3 linked regions of the Rattus norvegicus genome follow. The protein of the gene in region 2 purifies or fractionates together with the protein of the main gene of each other region. This does not show direct contact. Links are inferred from orthologs where the notes say so. Each region holds a gene or a part of one and is shown on either strand. Other genes may lie near its edges. The genes, in order: Ap3b1, Ap3s1 and Ap3m1.

Region 1 (11,261 bases), on a different chromosome or scaffold from region 2:
AAGCTGGGCCTGTGAGAGCTTCATACAAACCAGGTGAGTGTGGTCTCCAGACTCAGCAGCAGTGAGAAGCACTGAGATTAAAGACGGGAGGGAGGGAGGAACGGAGGGAGGGAGGGAATGCTCAAAGCTGCCACCACAAAGCTGGTAATGCATGTAATGATAACGCACGTAATCTAACTCCCATTTCAGGGAAACAGAGAAAACAGGCAGCCCTCAGGTAGTCTCTAAAAATGCTCTTTGAATCTAAAGTAACAAATCCACTCCAACATCAGCAGAGGGCTAAACCTTTCACCTTTCAATGTAATTCAGTCAGTAGGGACGGATTGCTGAATTCCTGGTTGCTAATCTTTAATTATTACATGCAAGGGCCCGCTGCGGCCTCCATTCCATTTACCCCCTGCACTCTTTCCAGAGTCTTCTATTCAGAGGCAAATGGGTTTTATGTGCACTGCCCATCTTCTAACAGTCTGCCTGGGTGGTTCAACCACCCCCAAGCTTCCCTAGCTGCTGCTGAGAACATGGAGGCCCACCTTGCTTTCATTCGGATGTGGGTCCTTTCCTGCAGCTCTCTGGCCCTAAATAAGCTCCCTCTTTCACCCGTGTGGCAAGGCTCCTCAGACCTCAGGCTGCAGCACCAGCACTTCAGTGGCACTCTGGCACGTTTTCCTAGTTTTGATTCTAGGTTAGAAAACTCACCCTCGTTCGGTCCCTAGCTCTGAAAAAAAAGAACCAAAAAAAAAAAAAAAAAGAAAGAAAGAAAGAAAACTCACCCTCTTCTGCACACAGTGACTCATGCTTGTCATCCCAGGACTACAGAGGGGCTGAGGGAAAAGGACTGCTAATCTGTCTACACAGTGAGTTCCGGGCCAGCCTGAACAATAGGAGATCATAGCTCTAGACAGACAGACAGGAAGAATGGACAGGGAAGGGAAAGAAGGAAAGAGGAAGGAGAGAAAGAGAAAGGGGAGAGGGAAGATGAGAGCTCTCCTTTAAATACGCTGTCTTACAAAAAATCTCCCAGAACAGGCAAGTATTACCACGCCTTTCTAGAAACAAGGAAACGGAAATGTGAAGAACTCAACCAAGCTGAGCAAGAGTGATAGCTGAGCTGCTATCACTGGAAAGCATTAACTTAAACCTTCTGCCTCCTGTGACTCTCTAATAGCACAATGCTCTCTAGGAAGGGGAGACTTGGGAAACCCTGTGCTCCAGCATAACCAGCATCACACATTTGCAATCACTCGTATGTTTCTGTTGAACTGAGAGGGGAAAAGAGAGGAGCTGGATGACTACCAAACTAGTTAGATGAAAGGAGTTCTAGTCCCCTGTGATGGTCTGAATGAGAATGGCTCCCATAGGCTCGTATGTGCAATGCTTGGTCCCACTTCGTGAAACTGTTTGGGAAGGATCGGGTGTGTGCTTGTTAGAGAAGGTGTGGTTTTGCTGGAGAAGATATGCTTCTGGGACTGGCTCTAGGGTTTCAAAAGCCCACACCAGGACCAGTCTTGCTCCCTCTGCCTGCTACCTGCAGATCAGGATGGGATGTTCTCAATGACTGCTCCAGTGTCAGGCCTGTGTATACCAGGATGATCATGGACTAACACTCTGAAACTGAAGCAAACTCCCAGTTAAACGCTTTCTTTTACAAAAGTTGCCTTGGTCATGGTGTCTCCTTACAGCAACAGAACAGTAACTAAGACACTGCCATAGTACAGTAAGCCAGTTATAATCCTCAATGAACTACTTCACAGTTGTGAGAAACAAGAAAGGAGCCAAAGGCTGTACACAAAAAAAATAAGGAGACAGAATTGCTAATTTACCCTGGTTTGATCAGTTTGTAATGTATACACATGTTGAAATGCCACCATGAACACCATAAATATATATATGTATATGTATATGTGTATATATATATGTATATACATATACACACACACATATATAAAATTACTGCGTGGCAATAAAATTGTTTTAAATGATTGCTCTAATTTTTTTAATGAGATACATAAAAAGACACTTAGAAATTCAGAAGAAAATCAGAAAATTGACTAGTCTTACCCTTCATCTAGAAACTACTTTGCAATTAGATGGTAAGCCAGAAGAAATTGAAATTATTTCTTTATATATACACCCAAATGGACTAAGGTAAGGAAGGTTCTTTTTCTTTTTTTTTTCTTTTTTCTTTTTTTTTTTTGAAAAATAAAGACAAATGACTTAGGTGATAACTAAAAGCAATGGAAATATAGACTATTCCAAAATAAAGCGGCGGGGGCCAGGGGGCAGAAGTTAGCTCTTTACATTTAAAAGTGAAGAACATTGTAAGGCCAGTAAAGTAATGCACTGGGATGATTCACAAAAGCTATATGCTGAGGGGGATATGCATTCATAGGCAATGTAAGCTTCCCGTTCTGGTTTTGTTTGAAGGATGAGAAGGGTTACAAAATTTCAAATAGAGTCTGAGAACAAAAATCAGTGACTGATCAGGAAGAGATTAGACGTATTTGGAACAGTCAGTGAAGTACTAAAGAACACACAACGAGAGAGTGCACGGCAGAGGACACAGGGAGCAGGGCACCCCACTCAGCCACAGCAGCAGGCAGGTTCAGGAGACTGTATCTTAGGCTACCAATCCACATCACAGCCACGCCTACTCCAACCCTAGGGCATCTGCTGCCCTCTGCTGCCCTCCTTAATCACCTACACTTACCTGCACACACACAGAGGCCCATCTCTATAACAAAAACTTCATGGCTGGCTGCTGAAGACTTTAATGTAAAAGCTAGCCAAATGGTCTCGAGCTATCTCCCAAGAAACCCAGATTGGGGAAGGGGGTAAAAATAGAAATCAAGCTACCAGAAAAGCCCTTAACTGGGAAACTTAGGAAGATTGGGTACCTTGTGTCTCTAGGCACAACAGATGACACATTACGACACTGTGCTCAAATCAGTGTCGGAAACTCAAACCCAAAGATGATGGGACTCCAGCAAAGGCCTGTTGACTAGCACGATATCTCCTGTACCAGTGTTAACTCCTTGATCATATCTGACGACTTAAGGGACTGTTTTTATTACCAAAAACAGATACTAAGGTTTTAAGGGTAAAGGGCACGATCTAAACATAATCTCCACGGTTCAGAAGACAACAATGCATGTGACATGTGTGTAGAGAAGTGTGTGTGTGAATGTGAAAGGAAAGGGGTAAGGCAGAGAGAAGAGGGAAGGAGACAGGAGGGGCAGGGGAGCACAGTGACTGTTTTGACTGTGGCTCCAGACTGGAGAGAGAGCTCAGCGGCTGAGAGTCCACACTGATCTTCAGAAGACCCCAGTTTCAGTTCCAGCACCGTATGCCTGTTAACACCAGTTCCAGGCCTTCTTCTGGCCTCCGAGGGTACCACACAAACCCACACACCAACGCAAGTGAAAAAGTAAAATCTAAAATGATAACCAGTGACTTTACATAGAGTGGTTCTCCTGACAAATGCTGGGGGCATAAAAACTGAAATGATTTTAAAGTCAAAGACAAAAGGAAAAGAAGCTATTACAAAGTAATCCATTAAAAAGTGGAGCAAAATGTCCAGGTGTGATAGGTCACACCCAGAAATCCAAGCATTCAAGAATCTAAGGCAGAAGGATTACAAGTTTGAGGCCAGCCTGAGCTACATAGTGAGATCCTATTTTGAAAGACAAATGTTTTTAATGAGAGCTCAGGAGAGACTAGGTGGCCACTTCCAGAATAGGAGTCTGTTGCTTTCTACACGACTGACTCCATTAAACTGCAGCTCAGTAGCCAAAATGTTTCAGTTCCTGAAAGCCAGAAGTCATATAGGATCTATGGCTACTATGCAAAACTTTAAACTTTTGGTGAGCTGTATGCATTCCCTAATTAAAAAAAAAAAAAAAAAAAAAAAAAAAAAACAACAGGGTTGGGGATTTAGCTCAGTGGTAGAGCGCTTGCCTAGCAAGCACAAGGCCCTGGGTTCGGTCCCCAGCTCCGGAAAAAAAAAGAAAAGAAAAGAAAAAATAGCATTGATTTCAAGGAGTTAATAGCATACGCAAACACATTAAAGAAAGAACTGAAAAAAAAAAAAAAAAAAAAGAAAGAACTGAGATTATAATGTCTAGGTTCAAATTTGACAGCTTCGTGACCTTGGGCAAATTAACCAACTAGACTCCCGTTTCCTCACCCTTAAAGTGGAATCATGGAAGTACTAGGAACAGCCCACTAAAGACTGAGGACTAGGGATGTAGCTTGGTGGCAGAGCACTGGCCTAGGCAAGGCCCCGGCATGCAGAAACACACTGAAGATGTTAATTATGAGTGTCCATGCACAAGCACTCAAGGTTCGCTCATTTTACTTCAACCCTAACTTCAGCTGTGAGGCATGCATTCTTCCCAAATTTTACATAGCCGGAAAGAAAAAACACCTTAGATGCTTAGAGATTAGAAAAGTAGACTAAGTGTACACAAGTCACATGCAAATTCAACTACTGAAACCTTCTACTGAGGGAAATGTAGTTATAATAAACGCCTTGTTGGATCAGTCAGTCACACAAATGCACACAAAGACAGATTTACAGCAATCATGTTTTAAACATTCATATCCTGGAAATAATGAACACAAATAATTTATATGCTTTATGCAAGATGTTAGTCAATAGAGTCGAATTTTCACCTCAATTTCAACTATTAGCACCTGGGAGGCAGACACAGGAGAATGGCAAGTTCCAGTTGGGGACCAGCCTGAGCTGTCTAATCCACAAATTCTTATTTTAATTATACCCCTTAACACCCACAAGACTATCAGTCCAGTTTCCTTACCTTAAGTGACGGTTTATTATGTTTTCCTGCACTATGTAACAATAAGAGATCAAAAATAAGAAAAACATAAAATGGCATGGTGGTTTGTGCACTGGGGTAGCAGAGACAGGAGGATTTCTCTGATTTTTCAGGCCAGCCTGCTCTACCTAGTGAGTTCCAGATCAGCCAAGGTTACATAGTGAGACCCTGTCAGAAAGCAAGGGGTGGGGAGGAACCACGACAAAGCAAAGCCCACCCCACCCCACCCCACAAAAAAACTAAACTAAAACTGAATCCGCTAAGGATGTTTTCAATTCTGGGCGGTATTTGCTGTGAACCCTAAGTAACTGTTTACAAAAGTGGTTAGTGATTATTTTTAAAATTCATACTATTTGTAAATAACTAGAATTAGGTTTGGTTCACAGCAACACTCTATTTAAATATTATCTCAATGCCTTAGAGGGCGGGGGAAAGAGTACTCTGGTGCAAAGATCACGGTGTAAGAAAACGCCAAAGGGTTTTAAAAAAACAAAGCTGTCATTCATAGAGAACCCCACCTCTTAGTCCTTATATTGCAGGGTCCAAATAAGCAGCAGGCCCACTCTCAACCCCCTTCCCCAAATACTCTCGTCACCTTTAAATAAATGACTTTCTCGAGGTCTGATCCTGTCCACTAGTTTGATTCACTAGTTCAAAATTCAAGCTCCTGTGCTCAGCCCAGATCAACTCTGTCAACGGTTTGGGAAGTGGAACCTCAGCTCAACAACCGGTTTTCCTTTCCCCCACCAAAGTTTGAAAACCACCGGCGTCGCCTTTGGCGTCCCCAGACGTTCCGAACAAGCCCCGCAGCCGGCGGGGCTACCCCACCCACCCACCCACTGCAGCGGGGACCGCAGGGAGGTTCCTCCGGAACCGAGAGCAGCCGGGTGGCCGCCTAGCGTCCCCGCAGCGCTCCCGCACCCCGAGCCCGGGTCCTCACTTCTTCCAATCGCTGCTGAAGAGGCCGAAGGCGCCCGAGGAAGAGATGGTCGAGGTGGCCTCCTGCCCCAGCTCCGCCGCCTCCCCTCCTCCGGACTGCTCGTTGTAGGCGAAACTGTTGCTAGACATTGCGGCGGTGCCGGCCAGCGGGCGGGTGCGGGCGGGAGCTTGCGGGGTTCTCTCCGGGTGGCTGGCGTTCCGAGGACACCGAACAAAACTAGTTCTGGTGCGGAGGGGGCGCGCGCCGGCGCTTCCGGGCTCGTCACCGCTCCAGCCGGCCGGGCGGCCCACCCCCTGCGCGTGCGCACTGAGTCCGCGCGGGCCGGCGCCTGCCGCTCCGGGAGCGCTGGATTCTCGCGCTCCGGGTGTTAGAGGCCGCCGGGAAGCTGCACCCGAGACCCTTAACAGGAAGCTGTGGTTTTTGCACCGAGTTTGCCGGAGGGTAGTGGGCAAGTAAAGTACTGGATTTGAGGCCCTTGGATGCGTTTTGCTGGAGGAGATCTCAGACCCTTCAAGGTTCTTTGCTTCACTTCTGTTGTCCGCTGATCGCTCCCGGAATCCTCCTGAAACACCGAGCACACGCCAGACGAATTTAGCTTCGGTGGTCACGAGTTCTCAACCTTTAGGGCAGGTTCCCGCCCCTCTCTTAGCCAGCGTGGCCAGACCACTGACGTTCTAGACTTGAAAGCTCCTCCTCCCGGGAAGGCTTGCAGGCTCTGCACCGAGGCGATCATCCACGGGCAAGCTTTGGCTAAGTATTCCTGGGGCTTGAGGTTCTCACTTGGAGTTCTAGGCGTGCGTCCTGCCCGCAGTCAGCTGCCCCGAGCGCCTCGGCGAGGTGCCGGAGTGCGCTCGCCTCTGGGAGCCACCTGCTCCCACTCTTTGGCAAATAACTTTCCAACATCCCCTAAGCAGCTAGGTGGGATGGTTTGTGGTCGCGGTAGCTGCAGCCCTCCTGCCCCGGGCAGCTTTCTAAGAGGAGCCTCACCAGCCGGCCTCCCTGGTGACTATGGTTCCTTCGTTCCTCATTCCCTACACCTACGGTCCAGAAAGGACTGAATACCTGGAGCCCGACAGACAATCACCAAAACCCAATGGTAGCACCCGGCAAACACCAACCCGGGTCCCACCAATATTTCTCTACCTGACTGAAATATCGCGTCGTCTTTCTGAAAACATGATCCTCCCTAGTGCCAGGAGGGAGAGGAGCCTCCAAACTGATCAAATGTTGGCAGTTAGTTAACCTTTCAATGAACCTGTCCAGATAACATGTGTGTTAGAGCATCTCAAATACATTGCTTCCCGGTATAGATGATATTGGTGGAATCTCTCCTACGACTGATCGACGGTGATGAGGTGTTATATGATGTTATATGATGCTTAACTTATACCCCATACACTATTCTAAGTGGTGTGCATGAATTAATTCGTTTACTACGGAAAGACACTAGGACTTGCTTACTTTATCTGTCAAGTAATGGCAATGCTGTACACATCCTCACTACAAAATAGACCTGAGTATATAATTTTTTAATTTTAGAATATATACACCTTTATTAGATATTCTAAATTGCTTTCCTAACATTTATGAATGAGAGGGATTTCCTCACATTCTCATAATTTTGTCATAAATGTCATATAGATACTTGTATTATAATTAATTTATATGTTCATGTCGATAATGAATATGGTTATCTTTCATGTGTTTCCCCCTCCCCAGGTGCTTTTTATTGTCTTAGAATTGCACACAAACCTGTTAATCCAATTTATCTCGAATAGTTCATTTTCTTATGAAAAAGGTTTATTATGTTTTTAGAGACAGGGTCTCACTCTGTAGCCCTGCCTGGCCTGGAACCTGCAATCCTCCTGCCTTAAGCTGCCAAGTCTGCGGTGCACCAGCACACCCCACTTGAAAAGGACTCATTCTCAAGTCTCTCTTTCTTTAACAAGCTGCTGGATTTTCACTGGTTGTTGTTTTGTTTCGTTTTCATACAGACTCGTGTAAACAGTTGACCTGTGCTTTGGAAAGTTGTGGGGGAAGTCTTGCTTTATTCTGTTTAGCTTGTCCTTGGAATGGGACGGGCTGTCAAAGCTGTTATGTTTCTCAAGAAAAAGAAACAGTATTGGGTAATTTATTTTTTTCCTCCTTCCTGGAATATTTTATAAAGATATAAAGCCTATGTCCTTTGGAAAAACATAAAATTCTCCTTCTCTGTTTCTGTTGCTGTAATGAAACACCATGACCAAAGCAAGTTGGGGAGGGAAGGGTTTATTTATTTGGCTTACACTTCCTCATGCTGTCCATCATTAAAGGAAGTCAGGACAGGAACTCACAGGATCCTGGAAGCAGGAGCTGATGCATGGCAGTGAATGGGTGCTGCTTACTGGCTTGCTCCATTGCTTGCGCTGTCTGCTTGCTTTTTTTTTTTAATTAATTTATTTATTATTTATGAGTACACTGTAGCTGTCTTCAGACACACCCCAGAAGAGAGCATCAGATTCCATTACAGTTGGTTGTGAGCCACCATGTGGTTGCTGGGATTTGAACTCAGGACCTTTGAAAGAGTAGTCAGTGCTCTTAACCACTGAGCCATCTCTCCAGCCCCCGCTGTCGGCTTTCTAATGGAACCCAAGACCACCAGCCAGGGATGGCACCATCCATGGTGGGGTAGGCCCACATCAATCACTAAGTAAGAAAATGCCCAGGGGTTGGGGATTTAGCTCAGTGGTAGAGTGCTTGCCTAGCAAGCGCAAGGCCCTGGGTTCGGTCCCCAGCTCCGAAAAAAAAAGAAAAGAGAAAAAAAAAAAAAGAAAGAAAATGCCCCATACAGCAGCTGTTCTCCACCTGTGGATCACAATCCCTTCAGGTGTTGCTTATCAGAAATTTACATTACGATTCATAACAGTAACAAAATTCAGGAAGTAGCAACAAAAATGATTTGATGGGGGGAGGGGCAGTCACCACAACATGAGACATGTCTCCAATTGAGGTTCCCTCCTCTCCAGTGGCCCGAGCTTGTGTCAAGCTGACATAAAACCAGCCAGCACATTCTGAAAACATGAGGAAGTGGACAAGGAGAGACCTAGACCTCCCTAATTATAAGATTGTCTATCTGTACAGAAAGAGTAAAATTTTAACTCCCTATGCAGAAGTCTAATCTTCCACTCCTCCAGAATTTAAAACTTTTATATAGCCCTAAAGCTTTCTAATAAAAAATTATAAATGCTAACTGTCCAGAAGAAACACTTGAGAAAGAACCAAAGAATCAAATCTATTACCAAACCTAAGCCAGATTTCTTTCCTACCCTCATGTACATTGTGTGTGTGTGTGTGTGTGTGTGTGTGTTGAAATAAATACTTTTTTCAAAAATACAAGGTTATTTTTCCATGATTTTTCTGCAATACTCACCAAAACCTTCATGTAATATTCTGATTTCCATTTTTTTTCATCTAAACCATCATGCTAATATATGATAAATTTGGATGCTGGGCTTGGTGGCCCACACCTTTACTCCCAGCACTTGGGAGGCAGAGGCAGGCAGATCTCTGTGAGTTCAAGGTCTGTGTTATATAACAGTGCATGCAAGGACAGCTGGAACTACATATCAAGACCCTGTATCAAAAAAAGAAAAACGTTTGTATGTATTGAACTTGTTCTCCAAGCACAATATGTGTGTGTGTTTCTCCTAATGCAAATTAAAATCAATGTCATCTTATGTCTTTTTAAAGATTTGTTTAGCTACTTTATGGGCATAGTGCTCTACCTGCATCTGTGTATGTCTGAGGGTGTCAGATCTCCTGGAACTGGAGCTACAGACAGTTGTGAGCTACCATGTAGCTGCTGGGAACAGAACCGGGGGCCTCTGGAAGGGCACCTAGTGCTCCTAATCAGAGTCACCTCTCCAGCCCTATACCTTATTTTTTTCCTCTTTGTATTCTCTTAGGTCTCTTTATCCATCCCCTTTGTCTCTCATATGCCACACAGAGTTACCTTGCTTTAAATATCGACATATTATTTTATTTTGTTAATGAAAAAGATTCTTTTCTTGACCAAACTTTGCAGCCTTCTGACTTCTGCTGGACCTACATCTATCTCAGTTCTTTGTAAAGTTATTTTTAGCAAGAATATTCCACCCTCCATATCTAATCAAAGTTGATCCCTCCCTCCCTTGGTGTGGTGGTCATCTGTCTGCCATCAGCAGGAATTCCGTTCTCCAGCTAGACTTCTATTCCTAGACCTGACCTCCTTCTCCAAACACTTATGAATCACCACCAATTATCCCTGGTATATTCGAAATGCATCCCTGGGTTAGCTCGCTCTTTCCCACTGTAATAATCCTACTCCATTTTACATTCTGTCTAGCCTTAGTTCTCTTTATTAATAGATGAGGCTTTTTTTTTTTTTTTTTTTTTTTTTTTTTTTTTTTTTTGGAGCTGAGGACCAAACCCAGGGCCTTGCACTTGCTAGGCAAGTGCTCTACCACTGAGCTAAATCCCCAACCCCTAGATGAGGCTTTTTTATCTAGTCAGCAACCTACTGCTGTACACATATGTGTTCTTCCAAATTTTAAAATATTATAACAACCTTTTGAACGCATGTGTCCGCATCCTGGTGTCAGAATTTCCATAATTACAGTCTCAGAACACCAATAACTAGATTGAATTACATACACACTTAAAATTTTGCTAGAGGCCAGGCACACTAGTAGTCCCATCTACTCAGAGGCTAACATGAGAGAATCACATGAGCTCAGAAGTTTGGGACCAGCCTGGGCAACATAGCTAGAGCAGGCTTTAAGAACAAAAATGTTATCTAACAAACATCACCAAACGTCTAACTGAAGGCAGAGGACCACAGTGGACCAGTGGTCCTTTGATTTAACCCTTTCCAGTGATGACTGTTGCAAAACTTGTTTGCTAACCTGTTCGGCAAAAATAATCAAATCTTAAGAATTGTTTAATGCTTGCTCAGTATTAAAATGTCAGTGTTGGGCTGGAGAGATGGCTCGATGGTTAAGAGCACTGACTGCTCTTCCAGAGGTCCTGAGTTCAAATCCCAGCAACCACGTGGTGGCTCACAACCATCTGTAATGAGATCTGATGCCCTCTTCTGGTGTGCCTGAAAACAGCTACAGTGTACTAGTATAATATATGTGTGTGTGTGTGTATGTATATATATATATATATATATATATATATATATATATATAGTCAGTGTTGTTTACTGCTCGATTTATAGGGACGTAATAAAAATCACTGTCCATGTAGGAAAATTTTGAGACCAAATGACGATGCTCCTGATTGTACACAGTTTCTGGGGGAAACAGAACTAAATGGTGACCATAAATGTGACAGATTAAGAGCAACTCAATTACAAAACAATGTGAATTTATCTTTTATTAATTATGCAAACTTGAAAAGTGCTTATTTTAAGTGGATTACTCATCTTCTTCATTTGCAAGCAAACTACAGATAAAGCATTTAAA
Region 2 (10,461 bases):
TAGAAGGCTGATATCCAATATATACAAAGAACTCAAGAAGTTAAGACTCCAGAGAATCAAATAATTCTATTTAAAAATGGGGTACAGAGCTAAACAAAGAATTCTCAACTGAAGAATACTGAATGGCTGAAAAGCAACATCTTTAGTCATCAGGGAAATGAAAATCAAAACAACCCTGAGATTCCACCTCACACCAGTCAGAATGGCTAAGATCAAAAACTCGGGTGACAGCAGTTGCTGCTGAGGATGTGGAGAAAGAAGAACACTCCTCCATTGTGGGATTGCAAGCTGGTACAACCACTCTGGATATCAGTCTGGAGGTCCCTCAGAAAATTGGACATAGTACTATCTGAGGACCCAGCTATACCACTCCTAAGCATATACCCAAAAGATGCTCAAACATATAACAAGGACACATGCTCCACTATGTTCATAGCAGCCTTATTTATTATAGCCAGAAGAAGCCTGAAAGAACCAAGATGCCCTTCAACAGAGGAATGGATACAGAAAATGTGGTACATCTAAACAATGGAATATTACTCAGCTATCAAAAACAATGACTTCATGAAATTCATAGGCAAATGGATGGAACTGGGTTCCAAATATCATCCTGAGTGAGGTAACCCAATCACAAAAGAACACACATGGTATGCACTCACCGATAAGTGAATATTAGTCCAAAAGTTCAGAATACCCAAGATACAATTCACTGACCACATGAAGCTCAAGAAGAAGGAAGACCAAAGTGTGGCTGCTTCAGTCCTTCTTAGAAGGGGGAACAAAATATTCACAGGAAGAAATATGGAGACAAAGTGTGGAGCAGACACTGAAGGAAAGGCCATCCAGAGACTGCTACACATGGGGATCCATCCCACATGCAGTCAACAAACCCAGTCACTATTGGAGATGCCAAGAGGTGCATGCTGACAGGAGACTGCTATAGCTGTCTGTCAGAGCCAGACAAATACATAGGCGGATGCTTGCAGCCAACCACTGGACTAATAATGGGGTCCCCAATAGAGGAGTTAGAGAAAAGACTGAGGTAACTGAAGGGGTTTGCAACCCCATAGGAAGAACAACAGTATCAACCAACCAGACCCCCCACTCAGAGCTCCTAGGGCTAAATAACCAACCAAAGAATACACATGAAGCGACCCTAACTCCATCAGTATATGTAGCAGAGGATGGGCCTTGATGGGCATCAATGGGAGGAGAGGCCCTTGGTTCTGTGAAGGTTTGACACCCCAGTGTAGGGCAAGGAGGCAGGAGGAAGTGGGTGGGTGGGTGGGGGAGCACCCTCATGGAGGCAGGGTAGGGAGATGGGATGGGGAGTTTTCAGAGGAGCAACCAAGAAAGGGACTAACACTTGAAATGTAGATAAAGAAAATATCCAATTTAAAAAAAAAAAGAGTTTAAGAGTAAAGTGGTATACTAACAGCTCCACTGGCACATACTGTTTTTAACCTTACTAACAAAAGCAATACCAAAAGCTTTATTTAGTCTTGTTACTTATATGTCTAAGCTTGGTCACTCAGAATTTATGATTACATTTTCTACTTAGTAATTTCTCATTTAAAATCAAAAAGTGCTTCCTTCCTGCAGATTTAAAAATCATAACTCATTTGACGAATCTTTTTACATACAGCTTTCCCCAGCTTACAACTTACTGATGCCACATCTCTATTTGTGTACTATTCAGAAAGGAAAAAAAATTCTGTATATTTTCTCTTGATAATCTTGATCCAAAGCAAACTACTTACAATAATTAATTTTTAAATTGTATTTATTAGTGTTTATACACACACACACACACACACACACACACACACACACACACAGCTACATGGTTAGAGGTTAGAGGACAACTTTATGGTGTTGGTTCTACCTGTGGATTCTGTTCTCAGATTGAAATAAAGTCAGCCAGCTTGCAAAGCAAGTGCTTTTACCTGATCCCTGGCCTATAACTACATTTATGAATGCAATTTACTTTTTTTCTTTAGCTTTTAGAGATGGTATGACATATAAACTTAAAATATAAAAACCACATATTTTATATATATATATATATATATATAAATATATATGTGTATATATATACATATGTGTGCATGCATAGATAGATAGATAGATAGATAGATAGATAGATATAGATGACTTAATGATTCTCACAATTAGCCAATCAAGTAGAACTCAGATAAGAAAATGTCAATAGCATGTAGTGACAGCTACATTTCCAAATAACTATTCTAACGTTTTTGCCCTTATTATCAGTTATTTTATTCTAAATACTACATATAGGCATTAAATTCATTCATTTATTCACACATCAAACAATTATTTGTTGAAGACCTACTATTCCTTGTGTGAGATAAATCAGCAATACTAATGCAACACAGTATATAGTCCTGGTAGATAAGTCAATAAATGACTCTAGGTCCTCTTGGGAGCTTTTATTCTATTAGCAGTAAATGACAATAAAGCATCATAGAAAATAATAGCAGGTGCTAAGGAAAGGAAAAATACAGCAAATCAATGGTTAGAAATGTAGAGGAGATTTTTAGAAAGCATGACCACAGAATTCCATACTGAAAAGGTCATTTCTGGTCAAAATCGGGAAGAATGAAATGGAGCCTGCCAAGTGAGTACCAAGTGAACGAACATCTCAGGCATAAAAGCCAACAAGTACCAAGTCTGAAGTAGGCATATGCCTGTAGCATCAACAAGAGGCTGAGCACATGAGTAGGACACAGAAGACAAGCAACAGGAAGGGGTCAACACACATAGGCTCCTGGGTAGCCTATGACATAGTGGCTTTTACTCCAATAAAAGCTGAGGCTATGAAGAGTCTAGAATAAAAGGTGTGAGATGCAGCATATTACAATGGCACTTGACTGATGCACTGAGTAAAGACCCGAGAGAGAGAGAGAGAGAGAGAGAGAGAGAGAGAGAGAGAGAGAGAGAGAGAGACAGACAGACAGACAGACAGAGAAAGAGAGAGCAGTCAGAACTGTCAGACTACAAATGTAACTTGGACCACAGTGAAGAAATAAGAGGTCAGGCAAAGGATTTGCTTAAGATGGAGCAGAATGCAGAAAATAAGGCCAAAGAACAAGCAAGTACTCAGGCTCTGACTTGAAGAGTTCAGCTGTTAGTAACGATAAGACAAAAACTACAGGGCTGGAGAGATGGCTCAGCAGTTAAGAGCACTGATTGCTCTTGCCAAGGTCCTGAGTTCAATTCCCAGCAACCACATGGTGGCTCACAACCATCTGTAATGGGTTCTTGATGCCCTCTTCTGGTGTGTCTGAAGATGGCTACATTGTACTCATATATATATATATATACAATAAATAAATAAAATCCTAAAAAAAAAAAAGACAAAAACTACAGGAAATACAGGTTTCAGATCTATTTCAGTGTGAGATCTTCACGTAATACCCAAGCGGAGATGCCCAGCAGAAACTTGAGTCTTAAATCAGCCATTCGAAGGAAAGGTCTAGGCTAAAGATTAAATTTAGTACCATCAATACACAGACACTATTAGTATGAAATTACCTTACCAAAAGAATAAAGCCACAAAAAGAGAAGATACCCAAGACAAGAAGTAGGGAAGAACTATCCTCAAGATCAAGTAGAGTATTTATCAAGAGTGAATGGCAATCTGAATCAAACAGAGGAAGAACCTGTAATTCACGACAATAGTGCAAGAGAGCAAACCAGTTTCAGATATTCCTTCTGTAGCAAAATAATTTGTTATCAACAGAGAGAGACAGTAGAAAGGGAGCGAAGGTGGAAGAGCACAGTGCTGGCTGAGGGAATGATTTAGAAGAGGATAAAATGCTACAAAGTGAGGGGTGTTGCTGGAGCAAGAGAAGTGAAAGCTAACCTCAGAAGGCCTGGTTCCTCAGCTAGGAGTACAGTGAATGCATTGTTTCTACAACACACAGGAGAAAGGCAGGTAGACAGCAAGAGCCTGCCAATGTTCTCTCCTGACTGCTTCAGTTTTGTTTGTGATGGTCTAGAAGTGAGGTCTAGCTTAAGATACCCATAGAGTCTAAGCTGAATAAGGATAGGCCAAACCTCAATAGGATCAGGGAGAAGGAAAAACATGACATGTTGAAACCTGAGGGACCCAGAACAAGAGAAACAGTAAAACAGAAAGATAAGAAGGCAGCTGAGAGAAGAAATTACACAGATTGTGGACTGACTAGTACTTTGTATAAAAATGAGACATGAACAGAAAGCTGGGGCAGAAAGCAAAGCTCTGAAGGAATGTGGTTCCAGGTTTGAAGATATGAGGCTACTGAATATTACACATGTGAACACTGACGGTCCCACGGAACTTCACACATACCCTCTTCTACTGAATACGAAGCAACTCTAAAAAGTCTACAGAGTATAGGTTTCTGCAATCCTGGGAACAGAGGCAATTGTTATCTGTGTCTTTGATTATCTTTTCAAACTGTCTCACTGACAAACAGCCTTGGAAAATAATGTCTTCCTTAAAAGAAAAGGATAAGCTTATCTTGTCTTTTAAAGAGTATCTCATCCTTTTCAGAGCAGATGTGATTCACCCATTATAAAGAATTCCAGTTCCCTAACTCTGAGGTCTGTCCCCTATGTGATCTGATCTACTGTGGTGCAGACATCACCTGACCCTTCTAGAACTGAGAACTAATGCAGGCAAACATTATCAGGGTTTGGGCTAATTTGTTTTGGGCTGATTTGTTTTGTGGGTAATGTTTCTGGGTTATTAATAATGCAAGAAATCTTCTGTCATCTTCTGCCATCACCCTTTAAACTATAGATTAACTCATCGGCGTGCAAACAGAGCAAAAGTTCTAACCCTCTACATTTGTTAATAAAGCCCCAAAGTATGGGAGACAGATGGAGATGGATACAACTAAAAATGTAGGAAGATGACTAGTCTGATAATATGAGATGAAATCTGGAGATGTTCTAAAAGAAAATATCCTGGAAGAAACAAATAAAACATCTCCAGGCTCAATGATATGAAAAGGCAAACACATATACGCACAAACTGTTACTTGTGAAGGTTGAAGGCAATGATGAAGAAGAAGCAAGATCTAAAGAGCTGAAGCAACATTAACAGGTAAGATTCAAATTGAGTTTTCTGGTAACTGATGAGTTCTACAGACATTACAAACGTTTTTCAGAAGAGTCAAGTCTTTAGATCAGATTCAGACACATGCAGAGAGATTCACAATCTTGGGTTCCTTGCAGTAACTCACACGAACAAAAAAGGCATGATGAAATTAGCTTTAATTACTCCTAATCAATTTAGTTTCTACAGCCCTTTAACATGGTTTGAACTGGATCATGAGGGCACTGTCTAAGTGAATTAATCTACTTATAAGTTCATACCTAAACAGACTATCAGGAGGTGGAACCTAGTTGAAGAAGGGGTCTCTGGGAGGTGTCTTTGAAATGTCTATGTTGTCCCCGGCCCTCTTTGCTCCCCCTGCCATGAGGACAGAGCATACCTCTACCAAGCTTTCTTCCAACGCTACTCCTTTGCAATGGACTTAGATTCAATGGGATCAGCTGGCAGACTGAAATTTCCAGAACTGTGAACCAAAATCAATCTTTCCTCTAACTTGATTTATGTGGCACTATGTCACAGCATACCCATAATATCTACTATAGAACAGCTCTTATCAAACAACATCGTTTTATAAAACTTTAATCTTAAGTTTATAAAAATAGAATAAAAAAACCTAAGTAATGGTAGTAAGATGCAACTGTTGACTTACTTGAATTAGATCTAAAATGCCAAGTTCACTTTCTGAGGAATCCACACAGAAGACAAAATATAGTGTTGCATAATGTCTGTAAATCAGTTTGTTGTCAGATCCTCCAATTAATCTAAATGACAAAACAAGATAATTGAAATGGTGTAGGGAACAAAATGCAGAACACTTCATTAGTTCAAACAAAATCACATTTGTTAAAAACTTTTATAAAATAAAACAATGGCGTAGCATTCAAGTAAACTTACTTCAGAAACTAAGCAAATTAAGATAGCAATTTTCTTCAGAAATGTCAAGTAAAAGAAAGCAGTGCTTAATTTTAGTTAGTTTATTCATTACAGTATTCACTGAGTAAGTGCTGTGTGTCAAGCACTATAGCATGTAAGGAGACAAGAAAGTTAACAGGTAGGGGAGGGTATCACACAGGGAGCCAAGACAGGTCTCCAGCATATCCATGGAGTTCAGAATGGACATTGAGAGACAGCAATATCCAGACTGACATCTAATCAGTAGGGTGAGCCATGGAAAAATGAAGAGAAAAGCACCTTGGGCTAAGAGAGCAATGACTGAAAAGGTTTGTTTCATCAAGACAGTATGCACTTTCAATGAGATGTGAGGCCAGGAAACAAGAGATTAGTAAACAATGAGGCTGAAGGAACTGGAAGAAACCAGATCACGGGGCATGTGCAAGTGCTTACAAGATATAACTTCATAAGTCACAGTAAAACCCACAGCTTAAAACTGATCATCAGCTAGGAAAAAAAAAAGTATTTTTTAAGCTTTAAATAGACGTAGTATCATGACACTCTCCAAAAACATTTTTCTTAAATCTAAATGTAAGAATACCATGCTAATATTCAATCCTTTCATAAAATACTTTTATTCATATATTCATATTATTTAGAATTTAGCGTTTTTAAAAGAATTTAGTAGTCATCTGAGACATCTTATGTTTTTCCAAATATATTTTAGCTGTATAATAGTCAAGTTTATAATAGCAATTTCACATTCTCAAGACTACTTAAACATTAACATAATTTAAAACCAGGCCATACATAATCAAAACTAAGAAAGCATTCTCAGCAATATAGGATGTGGCATTTTTCCTATTCTGTAAACATAACACTAAACTCATAAGCTCTAAAGAACTACTTCTCTAAGTACATACTCTCTCTTGTCCTGTAAGAACAAAAACAGAAATTATCTTGGGGGGAAAAAATGAGGGATTCCTACTATGCTGGGTTACTTGTCTAGAAAGAGTTTAATTTAAAAGTCTTTATGTGCACTTTAAATATTCTGAGATTGGTTATGACAACAGTTACTATTGTTCACTGTAGGGGCAAAATGAGCACATCAGCAAATTCATTTTAGGTTTTGTTTGTTTATGTTTTAAAAGAAGACCATGCTTCTGAAAAATGTTACAAAGTAGCCATTAATAGAAAAGGGTTTCTATTGCTATGATGAAATACCATGACCAAAACACAAGTCTTTGAGGAAAGGGTTAAGGTGACTTACACTTCTATAGTAGTCCATCACTGAAGGACGTCAGGACAAGAACTCAAGGCAGGAACCTGGAGGCAGGAGCTGATGCAGAAGCCACGGAGGGGCTTACTGACTTGCTGTCCCTGTTTTGCTCAGCTTGCTTTCTTATAGAACCCAGGACCACCAGCTCAGAGATGGCACCATACACAATGAGCTGGGTCTCCCCCATCAATCACTAAGAAAATGCCTTACAGCTGGATCTCATGGAGACATTTTCTAAACTGAGGCTCCCTCCTCTCTGAGGACTCTAGTTTGTGTCAAGATACCATAACACTATACAATACAGAGGTGATATACAGTATGTAAAATTTTACAAATAGAAATTGCTAATTTCTGATATCTCCTTAGATTCTTTGGAGACGAAAATGAAGTTCCAAGGATTTGAACAACGTGACCCAGTAAACTGGCTAGCCAGACTCAGAACCATAACAAAGACAGAAAGACATGGTATTTGGTTCCTGTTTTTCATATGGTTAGGAAAGAATCTCAATTTCAAGGTATAATTCTATCCAAACAGGACCCTCTTTGGATCAGTCTACCTAGTGTAATGCACTATGCAAGGTGAAGCAGTCTGTGAGATAAGGTACAAAGATGAGAGAGAGAAGCAATGCCTATGGCAGAGACAACTGGATTCCTACCGAGATCTAACAGAAACACAAGTGGCTGCCTTGGCCATTAAATTAGAGTCTGGAGTGGGGTTAACAGCAAAATCTACAAATCATAAATATGCATTTCATGTTTAAGTACAGCATGATAAAACACTTTTTAAATGCAAACAATGACAAGGAGCTGATGATGCACAAATATACTCTCCACATAAAAGAAACATTATGGTCAGACAAAAATGGGTTCTGCTGCCCAATTTTTTTTTATAATATGCATTTTATCATTCATGAGGCTAAGCTGATTCTTAGCATTAACTCTCATTAAGTGTATTAATTATATAATTGGGGAGAAAGTATTTCTAGAAATATTTAGAAGTAAGCTGCTTTCAATAAAATCCATTCATTTTAAAGTATTTATTTAGAGTTAGGGATGGACATCAGCAGAAAAGCACTTGCCTAGCATACAGAAAGCCTTGTGTTTAATTCCCAATGTTGCAAACAATGAAAAATAAAAATAAAAATATTTTCAATGTTTGTTTAGTTTAGCAAGATTTTTTTTCATTTTAAAAATAGAAACATCTACCAGCTGAATCTATACTAGTGGTATATAAGTACATAGACATAATTGAAAGACACACTGTTTATAATAAAATAAAGGATATGATCTGAATTTTTATGTGTATTCACCCTAGGAATACAATACCCATTTTAGAGAGAGAGAGAGAGAGAGAGAGAGAGAGAGAGAGAGAGAGAGAGAGAGAGAGGAATAAGCTCTCTTTATTATATGGGTTCTAGGGATCCAATTCAGGCATCAGGATTGGCAGCCGGCAGGCATCTTTACCAAATGAGCTCCATTTCTCCAGATGTATTTATAGGTAAAATGTTGAACCAAAAAACCCAACAGGCAAAGACATGAAAAGTAAGATGCACTTTCTAGAGGGATATACAAGAAACTGGGGGAAAGAACTAAGACGGGAGAGAAAAATTATTTTAAAAATTTATATTTACCTATAATAAGTAAATTCTACTATATGAATATATTAACTTTATATAAAATAACAAGGAATTTAGAAAGTTTGCATATCTTAAAAAGTGTATAGATTAGAGTTAAAACTAATACTGGTAGCAACAAAATTACCTAATTTAATTAATTATAATGAGGAATTTTCATCATCAATAGCAGTACAGACTGTCATTTCACACTGGAAATTAGAAAACCCATGAAATGCTGTACTTACAATCCTCCTTCTAGGAAATTACAAACATTCTCGTCTCGCTTAGACACCAGATGGAAAGTCTCCCTGATGATTTGCTGTTGCGTATCTTCACTCTGAAGAAGGAATTCATGTGTATTAACATCAAGTCTACAGGTTTAACAGTATTTTAAGACATTCTGAAAATAAAAGATAGTAATTTTAATATGGAAAAATCTGGAAAAGGGGGAAAGGGTCCTTGGAAAACAGATTCAAATTACAGAAACAAAAACTAAGTTTTTGATGAAGTGGGGAAAAATCATTATAGTTTACTACTACAATGAAAGCAACTTATTTCTTCAAAACCAAATGAGAAACAGAGCACTCAGACACACTTGTAAAAAAGGAAAGTAGACCTCAGCTAGTTAAAGACTGCTGCTTTACAAATGGCTAAACTGAGCAGGAAAGTAATGTTAGGTAACTAATGAAACATTATCTACTATATTTGAGTGCAGGGACAATAGAGAAAGCTTGAAGTTTGCAGGTAAACTGAAACTTGAGAAAACAGAGATTGAGGCTGAGTCTAATGTATTGATATTTATTTAAACAGGCCCCCAACTCAAGAACTGTTCCAGTAGATATTTTCTAAACTCAACTAAGCAATTCGTATCCCAGTAAAAAAGAACTGGCTTCCCAAATCATTAAAAAAAGTAAGGAAAATCATGAACAAAGATTTCAGAGGAAAGGAATATCATGGTCCATAAACAAACATACAGATGTTAAGCCTCAAAGTAATTCAGCGACCATCAGTTAAAGTAACAATGCCAACACTCTAAAGAGCCACCCTTGCAAACGTATAAGATACAGCAAAAATTCAATGCAGAGAAACTCTCAGCCCATCAGTGCAAGGATAAGTGAAACTAACTACCATGTCCAAAGTTTCCTTGATCAACATTTTAGACTCCTCATACTATTCTATCCCCTATGAAACCAGTTTTTTGAAATCAATAAACAACTACCAGCAATGGCGTATATACAAGCTCTGAATATGTCCAATAAGAAAAGTTATAAAATGACCCTTTAAAAAGTTGAAATAATACACATTTCTTCCATTCACACAATGGAAAAACTGTGATATACTCTTTTTTTTTTTAACTTGAGTATTTCTTATTTACATTTCGAGTGTTATTCCCTTTCCCGGTTTCTGGGCCAACATCCCCCAACCCCTCTCCCTCCCCTTCTTTATGGGTGTTCCCCTCCCCATTCTCCCCCCATTGCCGCCCTCCCCCCAACAATCACGTTCACTGGGGGTTCAGTCTTAGCAGGACTAGGGGCTTCCCCTTACACTGG
Region 3 (10,461 bases), on a different chromosome or scaffold from region 2:
CAGCAGACACACTAAGTGCTTCCTCCACATTTGACAGTTTGGAGAAGGTGTTATCCCCTTGGCCTTGCAATGTATGGTGTACGAAAAGGCGCTCTGCAGGCACACAGGCAAACTCAACTACTTAAGAACAACAGCATAAAAGATGGAGAAGAGTAACAGTGAAATGCATGTTTCCTTCCCTTTGTTAAACTGGGGTTTCAAGCTAACTAGGTTAGTGGCACCAAATAAAGCTTTAATAAAACACGAGAATGGCAAAGGTTTTGCTTGATTTTCTCTTTTACTACTTGAATTTGTTTAAAAGCACAGACACTTGTGCCTAACAGCAGAAGTAGTGTTCCCTTTCATTATCTTAATAAAGTATTTGCCCTTTTGATGCAAATGATTTGACTGTGCTATCTAACAGCTGAACTGGTGGCACAAGATTGATGGAATATTTACTGCAGCAAGGTCCTTGTAAATCAAAATCTGAGCTTTACATAAAAATCTTATTTATAAAAAATATAATACCAAGTACAGTGAGAATGGAGCATGGAGCTGCAGGGCTCCCTGCCTGGGCCATGTGGAAGTGGCTTTTGCTACAGTGCTTGCTTAATGGCACAAGTGAAAAGCTGAGTAAGGCAAACACTTGAAGAGGCAGTTTTCTGTAAACTTCTTGGGGTGGGGCAATCTCCTCTCTTGGGACAGACACTGATTGAGATGGCTAAGATCAGAAGGTGTGACCCTTGGCTACAGCTGACACCTCATAGACTGAGACAGTTCCTGCTGGAAGATGAGACCAGTTCACTTGCTTTAGGAGAGAGGTTATCACTGTAGCCTTCTGCCTTGACTGTTACCATGGGCAGCATTCAGCTGGTGGCCCCCATGGAAAAAAATCACCTAAACCTTTTCCTAAGTGAAAAGATACAAAATAAGCTAAGTCTTTAGAAAACTTTCCTTAGCTTAAAGCTCCTGAGGAGCCTACATCATTACTAAGCAACTTTGTTAGCAGGGTAGCTTGACCCAGATGCTCTATATTATTCCCACCCACTTGGTACCTAATAGTAAGAAACCGCAATGACACTTGCAAAACAAACTGATCTTGAGCAAGTCTGGCCTCTTCTCATGTCCTCACTTGGAACTTTCCGGCCTTTGTGATATACTTGACTCCTTTAAATGGCTTATACTTCTCACCATACATGTCCAAGCGGTTCACTTTTAAGCCTGTGTCAAAAAGAATGAAACAAATAATTACTACCCGAGTAATAATGCAGTACTTGTTTGGCAATGAACGCTGTGCCCTCCATGTGCCCTGCACAGTGCTCCATTCATCATTTTGGAAACAATATCCCTTTTCTAGTACCCACATGCTGTCCTCTAGGGAGCATGGCCTTAGTTAAGATGCCCCTGTGGACAGAAACACGCTCACGAAACGAGCTAATTCCACTTTCGTGAACACAAATGACAGTTTCTCCAACTCTTGAATGAAGGCGAGGTGAGGTATGTGTGATGGAAGAGCGTCAGATAAGCTGTGCTCCCAAATGGCTGCTGCTGCTCCTGTGTTAGCTTTTCTACACTCCTATCCCCAATTCCCCACAATGCACAGCAAGTGTGTTGTTACCTGAAATAGCAAGCTGCTGGATCTTGAACTGTATGTTGAGGTTTGGGTTCTCTTCTGGCTTGGGTGCTCCTGACTGTAAATTTACCAGTCCTTTAAGACTTGGGAGCTTTTGTGGAGTAATTTTCCCCACATCCCATGCTAGTACCTTAAAAAGACATGAGAAAAAAATCTGAACTGTGTTACAGACATGCTCAGAGGTCAGCAGATGGTATAAACTACACAAAATGAAGCAGTGTCTTGGAAAACAGGAGAAGCCTGGAACAGACAATTGGCTTCTGTTCTAATCACTAAACGTTCAGTTACAGCAAAATGGCCTGTGTGGGCCTGAGCAATCGATGTAAGCATGGCTGCAGTTCTGGTGAAGGGCTGACTGAGGACGTGGACTCGCCTGCTCACACTTACAGGGTCCCCAGAGAGGCTCTTTGAATTCTTAAGATGTTACATCTTAAAGGCCTGAAGAAAGTGTCAGATTCCCTGGAGCTGGAGTTAAAGGCAACTGTGTACCTCAAACATGGTTTTTGGGAACCAAACGACTGTTCTACAATAGCAGTGTATGTTCTTAGACCCTGAGCCATCTCTCCAGCCCCAAGGTTAGAGGATCTTTTAATGTCCTATGCCTTTAACTTCCGCACTCTGAAAGGAGAGGCAAGAGTGTCTGTGAGTTCCAGGACAGCCAGAACTACATCAAGAAACTGTCTCAAAAATGCTCTATGAGTTTATTTAAAAAAAAAAAAAATCACACCTTCTCAGTTAAGAGTGGTAGAACATGCTTTTTACTAAGCATAGAGCAAAGGCAAGTAGCTTTGAGCCAGCCTGGGCTACAAGTAAGACCTTCTTCTCCCCCATTTCAAACAAAACAACAAAAACAAAACAGCACACCGCATTTATCAAGTACTCTATTCTGCTGAAAACTTACGTTTCCTACATAAGCAGGAAGCAAGGGAGCTGAGGGAAAACCATCTTGTCTAGATCTCTGAAAACCCTTAGCTAAAGATGTGTAAGCAAGGTAAGGATCCTGCTTCCTAACTACTATGACCTCCACCCACAACCACAAAACAGACAGCAGAACACGTCTCACTCTTGATTCCAAATGCCTGTACCTTGGTGACTGGATCGAATGTATAGCTGCCTTGTGTTGGTGTCAGGTTCATATTCAGCACAACTTTTGGCATGTGAACAGTCACTGTGATTCCTTCAATCGTTTTTCCCATATTCTGTTTTGGTCCAATTGTTATATCAAATCTACCACAAGAGCTGTTTTCCTTAAAGCTGATATTATGTTTCACATACACTGGGATTGCCACTAGACTAAAAAGGACAGAGAGAGAGAGATACAAAAGAACATTAGGTATACAACGAGAGGAATGGGACCACTCTAGATGTAGTATGTGTCCCATGATCTCTGTAACTGTGCCACAGGGCCATAGATCCTAGCAGATTAAGCTATGCACTAGGGTTGTTGAGCACATTAAAGTTCTGGTACCAATGTGCTAGAACTGTATGGTATGGTACAAATACATAAACCAAAACAGAAATCTCCTTTAAATACCATATAAACAACTGAGATAAAGGGTTATAGTTTAAAAAAAATTAAAGAAAGAGCCCATTAAAAAAATTTAAAGCACTAAGAAATATTTTCTCAGAAAAAAGCTTCAGTTTTGTTTTATTACCCCAATGTTTTCTGAAATTTTAAGGGACAAGTTATCTACAGCTGACAATGTTAAACTTTAAAATTCAATGCAAGCTGAATGTGGTGGCAGAAGCTGAGGCAGGAGGATCCAGAGTTTGAGGCTAGCCTGGATAACAAGTTAAGACACCGTTTTAAAAACAAGAACCACCTCGAAACCCAAACTCAGTGTAGAGAACGGTGACTTGAAGCAGGTCGTTTGGATGTCTTAGGGTTTCCTGTCTTGTTAGTTTACAGACCATAGTGACTATGGTACTGAGTTCCTGGTTTGCCCAGGTCATGCATAGTCCAAAGGCTTGTTCTTAGTCATAGATTTTAACTTATTCTCTCTCACTACTTTTCTACACTTCCAGGTTCAGAAACACTAACTGTTTTGGGTACATATCATTACCAGTTCTCACTAGGTCTCTACGTGAGCCAGGGCTAAAGGAGCATTGATAAACTCACGAAACTGTAAAGGTGAAATGAGAACCGGGAATCCTATTCAAATTGTCTGTGTCTGCAAATGCTAGCTGATGCATTAACTTACTTTTGTGAGCTGACGCGGTATGATATGAGTCGGAAATTTCCATCGGGAGGAATGAATGACAAAACTCTCTCAGATTCCCAGCGTTTGAACCGGATGCATGGGTGGAAGCTGACATCATCTAGAAGCCTTGGGTTCTGTAAGGAAGAGAAAAAGCCATATGCAGAGACTATAAGGAGTATGACAGCAGGATTTACATCTAAATCACCTTACAGTGCTGTAACCTGTTAGAGTTTGCAAACATTTTACATACATCACTTTCCCTGAGGGTAATAAACTATGGAACCATCGATGAAAACGGAGCTTCAAGAGAGTCAAGAGACACTGGGAACAGAGACGGAAGCAGAACACACTTCCCTCCGCTGTCTGCAGCAGTGTGTCATCTAAAGCAATGCAAGTATCAATGGCCTTCTGCACAAGCAAAGCCAATCCTCAGGAAAAACGACAGTGGAGACACAAAAGCCAGACAGCGAATCCACAGCCAGTTCTAGCATATTCTAGGTGAAGACATCTCTCTGACCTTTCCATCAAGGCCATGTTCACCTGTCAACTACTGTCTGGAAAGCTATGCTAGGAATATTCCTGAGATAATCCTTTGTAACCTAACATATACACTCCAGGGCTGGACTTAGAAGGTAGAGGGTGTTTCCAAGCCCAAGGATCTGAGTTTGCTCTCTAGGATCCTCATGGTAGAAGGAGACCATCAATTCCTAGAAGTTGTTCTCTCATCGCCACATGTCTGCCCTGGCAAATGCATGCCAAGTCAGACACACACATAAATACGACATAAGTAAAATTTTAGATAACAATTTTATTTCAGCAATTATCACATCATTTAGCATTTCAAATGTATTATGCATACAAGGGACTATAGAACAGATCATAACTTACCATGAAAGAGAGAGAGAGATCAGGCATTCCAGACAGCTTAATGCAAGCATCAATGACACCTTGAATTTCTGCAAAGACTGTAGATCCTAAAGAAAGAAAAAGCTGATAACCTTAATGGAATCTGGGTCCTCTCTAGAGCTATCACTGTATCTAGAAATGGAAATACATTCTGGTTGTCAGACTCACAGGCTGTGCACCTCACTGACAGGTGAGAGGACAGAGGATGGATTCAGACCTATTACACCAGTTTCAACAGTTTCTTACTGGCTACACCTAACTAGCTAGAGTATAATTATTCTAAGAAAGATCAAACCTTTAGAGAGTCAACTGTGTAAGGTTATTTGGACAGAAGTTTAAAGTATTTTGACACAATTTAAAGATGAAGCAGGTTTCACATAATGGACTAAGTTATAGGCTTGGGCTAGAGTGGGGAGAAGACAAGACAATACCTGTCACCCATTCCCATATACCAACTAGTTGTATGGGGCTGAGCAGGTCACACAGTTCTGAGTCTCAGTGGTTTTGTGTATACATTGTGAGCATAGAATAAGAGGTTTCAAAAATGAAACTTTATGATTCTAATATTTACCACCAATGCTTTCTCTGGTTAAAACCAACCGGAAGAGGCCTTTAGCAGGAACGCTATACAGAGTGGAGAAGCATGGGTACCACAGATATGTAATACCTGTCAGATGAGTAACTGCAAGAGGGACTTAGAAACATCTGGCAATATCTCAACCAGTAGTTGTGATAATTACATGTAGCCTTTGGGCAGAACAAAAGAATTTATACATCATAGAAAATGAATGTTTCTCTGCTGAAAAACTCCTGCTAAGGGATTTATTTCAGTTTTCCATTCAACTTGTATTGACTGAAGTTTTCCCCAGAAGACCACATGTACATAGTTACCTGATTTATCTATAATCGCATCTATCTCTTCGACTACATCAAAGTAGGCTTCATTGTTGGTGTACTTTACACCTGCTCGACGCCACGGGATGTTGGACAGCTGCCCAGTGGGGAGCGTGTCCCCAACATTACTACTGCCTAGGATTAGAAAAGAAGAGCTACAGTGGGTGTGTGTAAGGTTATTAGAAAGATTATGAAAAGAAAAGAATGCTTTAGTTTCTACTTATGTTTGGATTTTCCTTCATAGCAGCTGTGATGGGCTCTCGAATGCTGGAGGCACATTCTACACCAGAGACCAGAGACAGGCCATGGGCCCCTGTGTCTACCAGTTAGACCAAGATAAAGGCATTCACTTTTCTTCTGCTTCCTGTTTATTAGCAGTAACCTGACCTGATTCCAGTGGTTCAACAAGAGTTCTGTCCTGCTGCCAGCAATGAAAAGGGGGGGCTACTTCACACCCCTGCTGATGAGAAGTGTCCGCTGAGAAGACTTGAGAACCTGGCTCCTCTACATAAGGCACTGCCACTGTCTGTGGAGTTCCCAGGCACAGCACATACTTTTGTTGACTCCCACTTTAAATCAGCATTGAGATTGCAGCTCTACAGCACAGCATCTGCCTAGCACGTGCAAGGCTCTGTATTCAATCCCAGCACCGCAGAAACAAAACAGAGCGAAGAAAACAAACAAAACAAACAAAAAGCCCAACTCCTTTCTTAAAGTCAGTCTATCTAATGTTCAGCATCTGACTAGCTTCCTGGAAAACTGTATGTATGGTTATCTCAACAGAGACCCTTCCACTGAGATTTACTAAACATTTTGTTTAGTTTACATTTTAATTCAGAAGTAACACATTTGCATAGCAGTAAAAAGCAGTAAATTTATAAAACAACAACAAAAATCTGTTTCCTATTACTAACACCAGCTACTGTTAACATTTAGGCATGTTTCTTTAAATAGTCCCCCCATAAGTAGCATTTACCAATGTGTTTCTATTTTGGTAATTATGATTTTCTTACAGCTGTAAAGCCAGGTGTAGGGCTGGAATTTGTAATCCTAGCATTTGAGAGACAAAGTAAGAGAACAACAGGAAGTCTGAGGCCAGCCTGGTCAGAGTGAGTTCCAGGCCACGCACAGCTACACGGTAAAACCCGTTTTCATAAAGCAATAAATAAAAAATTAGGACAGGAAACAAGACAGGGAGCACAGTCCTGTAATTCTAACACTTAGGAGGCCAAGGCATCACTAGTTTAAAGCCAGCCTGAGCCGCTTAGGAGAGCTGTCTCTAAAGACAAAACAAAATACACACAAAAGCACCTCACAAACATAAAATATGGTTTCAGGGCTGGAGATGTAACAGGCAGAGTGTTTGCCTAGAATGCATAAAACCTTTTGTTTTAAGTCCAGCATTGAATGGTGGAGTGTGTACTTTAACCCCAGCACTTGTGAGGAAGTGGAGGCAGGAGGATTGCAAATTCAGTCATTCTTGACTACACAGCAACACAATACATTCCACTCTAGATTAGTTTTTAAAGACAAGATATGTGTATAGTCCAGGATGGCTTAGAACTGGGGATCCTCCCACATCAGCCCCCCAAATGCTAGAGAAGTGTGTGCAGCTAACAAGATTAACATTAGTTTTAGTCTATTTATTGCTGGTGATCCTGTCTCCAGCCTGTTACTTTCCAAGTGTTTTAGAAAAACACTGCTTTAATCATATTATTTCCCTGTTCAGAAACCTTTAGTGCTCCCTGCTTGTTTTCTGATAAAAGTTAAATGTTTTTTTTAGGCCCAGCACAAGTGTTCTCCCATCTTGGCTTCCTGTCCTGCTGGGACGGGAAGAGGCGTAGGCCAATTGCACCTTCTCCGAATGTCCTTCAGCGCTCAGTTATGAACAGCTCTACTTCTGCTCGAGGGGCTGACACAGCTCAGCCTCCCACTTTATGTGTATTTTCCTCATAAGTGCTCTTACTTATCTTACTCCACATTCTACTGATTCTGCTGGGTCCTGTGCTAGGGCCACTTGGTAGTTCAAGAAAGATTACTTCAACTATTGAACCATTCTTTGGTATGTGTACATAGGTGTGGCACTAGGAAACAGACTCAGGGTTTTAGTTTAATAATCAAGACTCTGTATCCGTGAACTTACAACTGCTCTCCTTTAGTTGCCCTAGTAGTTGGGATAACAGGTGTGCACACCACATCCAGCCTGAACAATTCTCTTATATGTCATCATCCCATGCTATAGTTTTACACTACACATTAGTAATTTTTTCCTATCCATTTTTTTTCTTAAAAGTTAAAAAGTATGAAATGGGCTGGAGAGATGGCTCAGTGGATAAAAGTGCTTGCTATACAGACATGAGGACCTGCCAGATCCCCGGACACACATAAAAAGATGGATGTGGCTATGTGCCGCACATGGCTAGGGCTGGGAGCCAACCTAGCTCCAGGTTCAGAGGACCTCTTCTCCTCAACAAAGAACTCGGGTGAGAGCAACAGAACATGACACCTAATGTCCTCCATGCACATGCACACATTCATAATATATATTTTAAAACATATACGGCAAAAATGAGGATGGCTGGCTCCTTAGCTAAAAATAGTCAATGTGAACATTTTAGCATTTTTCTCTTTGTAAATATCTCTCTCTCTGTCTGTCTGCTTGCCTGTCTGTCTACCTACTTATCTCTCTGTCTGTCTGTCTACCTACCTACCTACCTACCTACCTACCTACCTACCTACCTACCTATGTATCTATCGAGTTTGTACTGTTTCCCCCACCAAACACACTTCGTACTGTGAGAGATCTGCAGTGCCTCACTACAGTGTCCATGAAATACCACAGTGCTCTTATTTAAACCGTTTTCCCAGAGTGTAATTCCCCAACGTTAAAAGGACAACCAGAGATTTGGCTGGAGAGGTATATAGCATTCAGTAAGAATCTTCCTTTATTAGACTTTTTTTTCTTTTGCATGGAATCCCATTATGTAGCTCTGGCTAGCCTGGAACTCACTCTGTAGACTAGGCTGGTCTCAAATTCTCCTGAATGCTAGGATTAAAGGCTTGTGCCACCATGCCCGCTTTTTGTAGATTTAATCGAAGGATGAACTGAATATACTGAATTTCTAGATATGGCCTAGAATTATACCCAATTGAAAGCTTATTTATAAAAAAGCATAAGGCCCAATATGCATGACATCTACTAATGATCTAATTTTCTACTGACTAGTTTTTCTTTCTCTGAAGTATTGTGCATTGAACCCAGCAACAGGAAAATGAGCTGTATAACCCTAAAAGTCCTTTGTCCTTCAAGACTGAGCCTCTTTCAATAAACAAAACAAAACAAATTTCTCATTCTATATACCAAATTGGCCCTGAACTTAGCAATTCCCAAGTGATATGATTACACATGTGAGCTGCACCTGACATATTATCTGTTTCTGTTACTGTTCTCCACCTTCCAAAAGAAAAGGGGGCCTGGCCAGATGGGCCAGTGGGTAAAGGCATTTGATGCTATGCCTTAGGACCTGATTCAATCTCCAGATTGCATGTGGTAGAGGGGGAGAACCAACTCTCACTGTCTTCTGACCTCTATGTGTACACTATGGCATGTGTGCATTCATGTGCACACACACTTACACACCGAGAGAGAGAGAGAGAGAGAGAGAGAGAGAGAGAGAGAGAGAGAGAAGAGATATACATTCATTTAAACATTATTGTTAACTTTAATTTTGGCCAAACTGGACTGCCCTAATAGTCTGTCATATGAGCAAAATGAGCTGTTCATACAGTTTCAATGGATCAGTTCCTAGCAGTGTTTTCATTTTTCATACCTGTAATAGAATTGACGACAGAACGTAGAATTGTTGGTGGTTTAATCAGTTCTTTCAGAATGTTAGATTCGGTAGCCAGTGGGAATCCATTGTCTAACATTTCTTCCAAGAGCTCATACACTATGACCACATTATCCTTAATTGCAGCCTCTGAACACTCACCAAAGTAGTCCTAACAAAACAGTCATGGTGTTGAACAAGAGAAGGCAGGGAGGAAGGCTTGCTGTTCTTAATCCCCTTTGTAAACTACTGGAGTAAACTAATAGTAGGTTAACTCATGGTTAATGAGGCTAGAAATATATAGGCTTGAAAAAAATTCTCTATGGAAGTCCTAACATTTCTCTTCAATATTTTCTTATTGTATTTATACTGAGCTGATTCCTACTATATCATGCCAGAAAGTACTGAGACATTAATCTGGAATGTGAGGCATAAACTTCATTTGCCCTATTAACCCACACCCACACACTTACAGAGCTTTAAGCCATTTGGTTTACTCGTCAAAACAATAGGAAATAGACAACAGAAATATAAAGGATCTCATGATCAATAAAAACTTTGTGATGATCCAGAGAATACTTGTTGGAGGGCACTCCTGTCTCCTCATGATATAATTTGCCGCACATAAAAAACAATGAGTAGAGTGGCGATGTGTGCTACCGTATACCCTCAGCACGTGTTTATGAGATATGTTTAGTTGCAAAGAGAAGTCAGACAGTACACAGAAACTTCAATAACCAGTGTGTGTGTGTTTGTGTGTGTGTGTGTGTGTGTGTGTGTGTGTCTGTCTGTCTGTCTCCTTGAACTATCTTGGGTGATTTAGTTTCAACAGTTTGACAGATACAAACCTGAAAAGTGTCAGCAACTCGATGCAGAAACTCAATTACAAAGAGAGGTGGCACTTCAGTCTGTATCACAGACACAAAGAAGAGCTTATCCCGGTAGATACTAATGAGGTAGTGGTGAGGTGTTGAAATGACAGGTGGTACATTTTCAACATCAGCAGCTTTCTCCTGAG

Evidence for each region.
Region 1: the proteins of Ap3s1 (region 2) and Ap3b1 fractionate together in Homo sapiens (co-fractionation; 5 studies listed by BioGRID and IntAct, counting the BioPlex papers as one, with this or other methods). This does not show direct contact. The link is inferred for Rattus norvegicus from reciprocal best matches to the Homo sapiens genes AP3S1 and AP3B1.
Region 3: the proteins of Ap3s1 (region 2) and Ap3m1 purify together in Homo sapiens (co-immunoprecipitation; 4 studies listed by BioGRID and IntAct, counting the BioPlex papers as one, with this or other methods). This does not show direct contact. The link is inferred for Rattus norvegicus from reciprocal best matches to the Homo sapiens genes AP3S1 and AP3M1.

What each region holds. Positions count from the first base shown.
Region 1 is NC_086020.1:27,329,672-27,340,932, reverse strand, and holds the start of Ap3b1 (AP-3 complex subunit beta-1), read right to left. Parts: upstream 5,976-11,261; 5' UTR 5,904-5,975; coding exon of another isoform or gene 5,776-5,903; intron 1-5,775. UniProt on the Homo sapiens protein: Subunit of non-clathrin- and clathrin-associated adaptor protein complex 3 (AP-3) that plays a role in protein sorting in the late-Golgi/trans-Golgi network (TGN) and/or endosomes.
Region 2 is NC_086036.1:41,672,976-41,683,436, reverse strand, and holds part of Ap3s1 (AP-3 complex subunit sigma-1), read right to left. Parts: intron 9,249-10,461; coding exon 9,157-9,248; intron 5,887-9,156; coding exon 5,775-5,886; intron 1-5,774. UniProt on the Homo sapiens protein: Part of the AP-3 complex, an adaptor-related complex which is not clathrin-associated. The complex is associated with the Golgi region as well as more peripheral structures.
Region 3 is NC_086033.1:3,302,905-3,313,365, reverse strand, and holds part of Ap3m1 (AP-3 complex subunit mu-1), read right to left. Parts: coding exon 10,292-10,461; intron 9,616-10,291; coding exon 9,444-9,615; intron 5,749-9,443; coding exon 5,611-5,748; intron 4,788-5,610; coding exon 4,702-4,787; intron 3,948-4,701; coding exon 3,814-3,947; intron 2,906-3,813; coding exon 2,698-2,905; intron 1,743-2,697; coding exon 1,598-1,742; intron 1,201-1,597; coding exon 1,100-1,200; 3' UTR 1-1,099. UniProt on the Homo sapiens protein: Part of the AP-3 complex, an adaptor-related complex which is not clathrin-associated. The complex is associated with the Golgi region as well as more peripheral structures.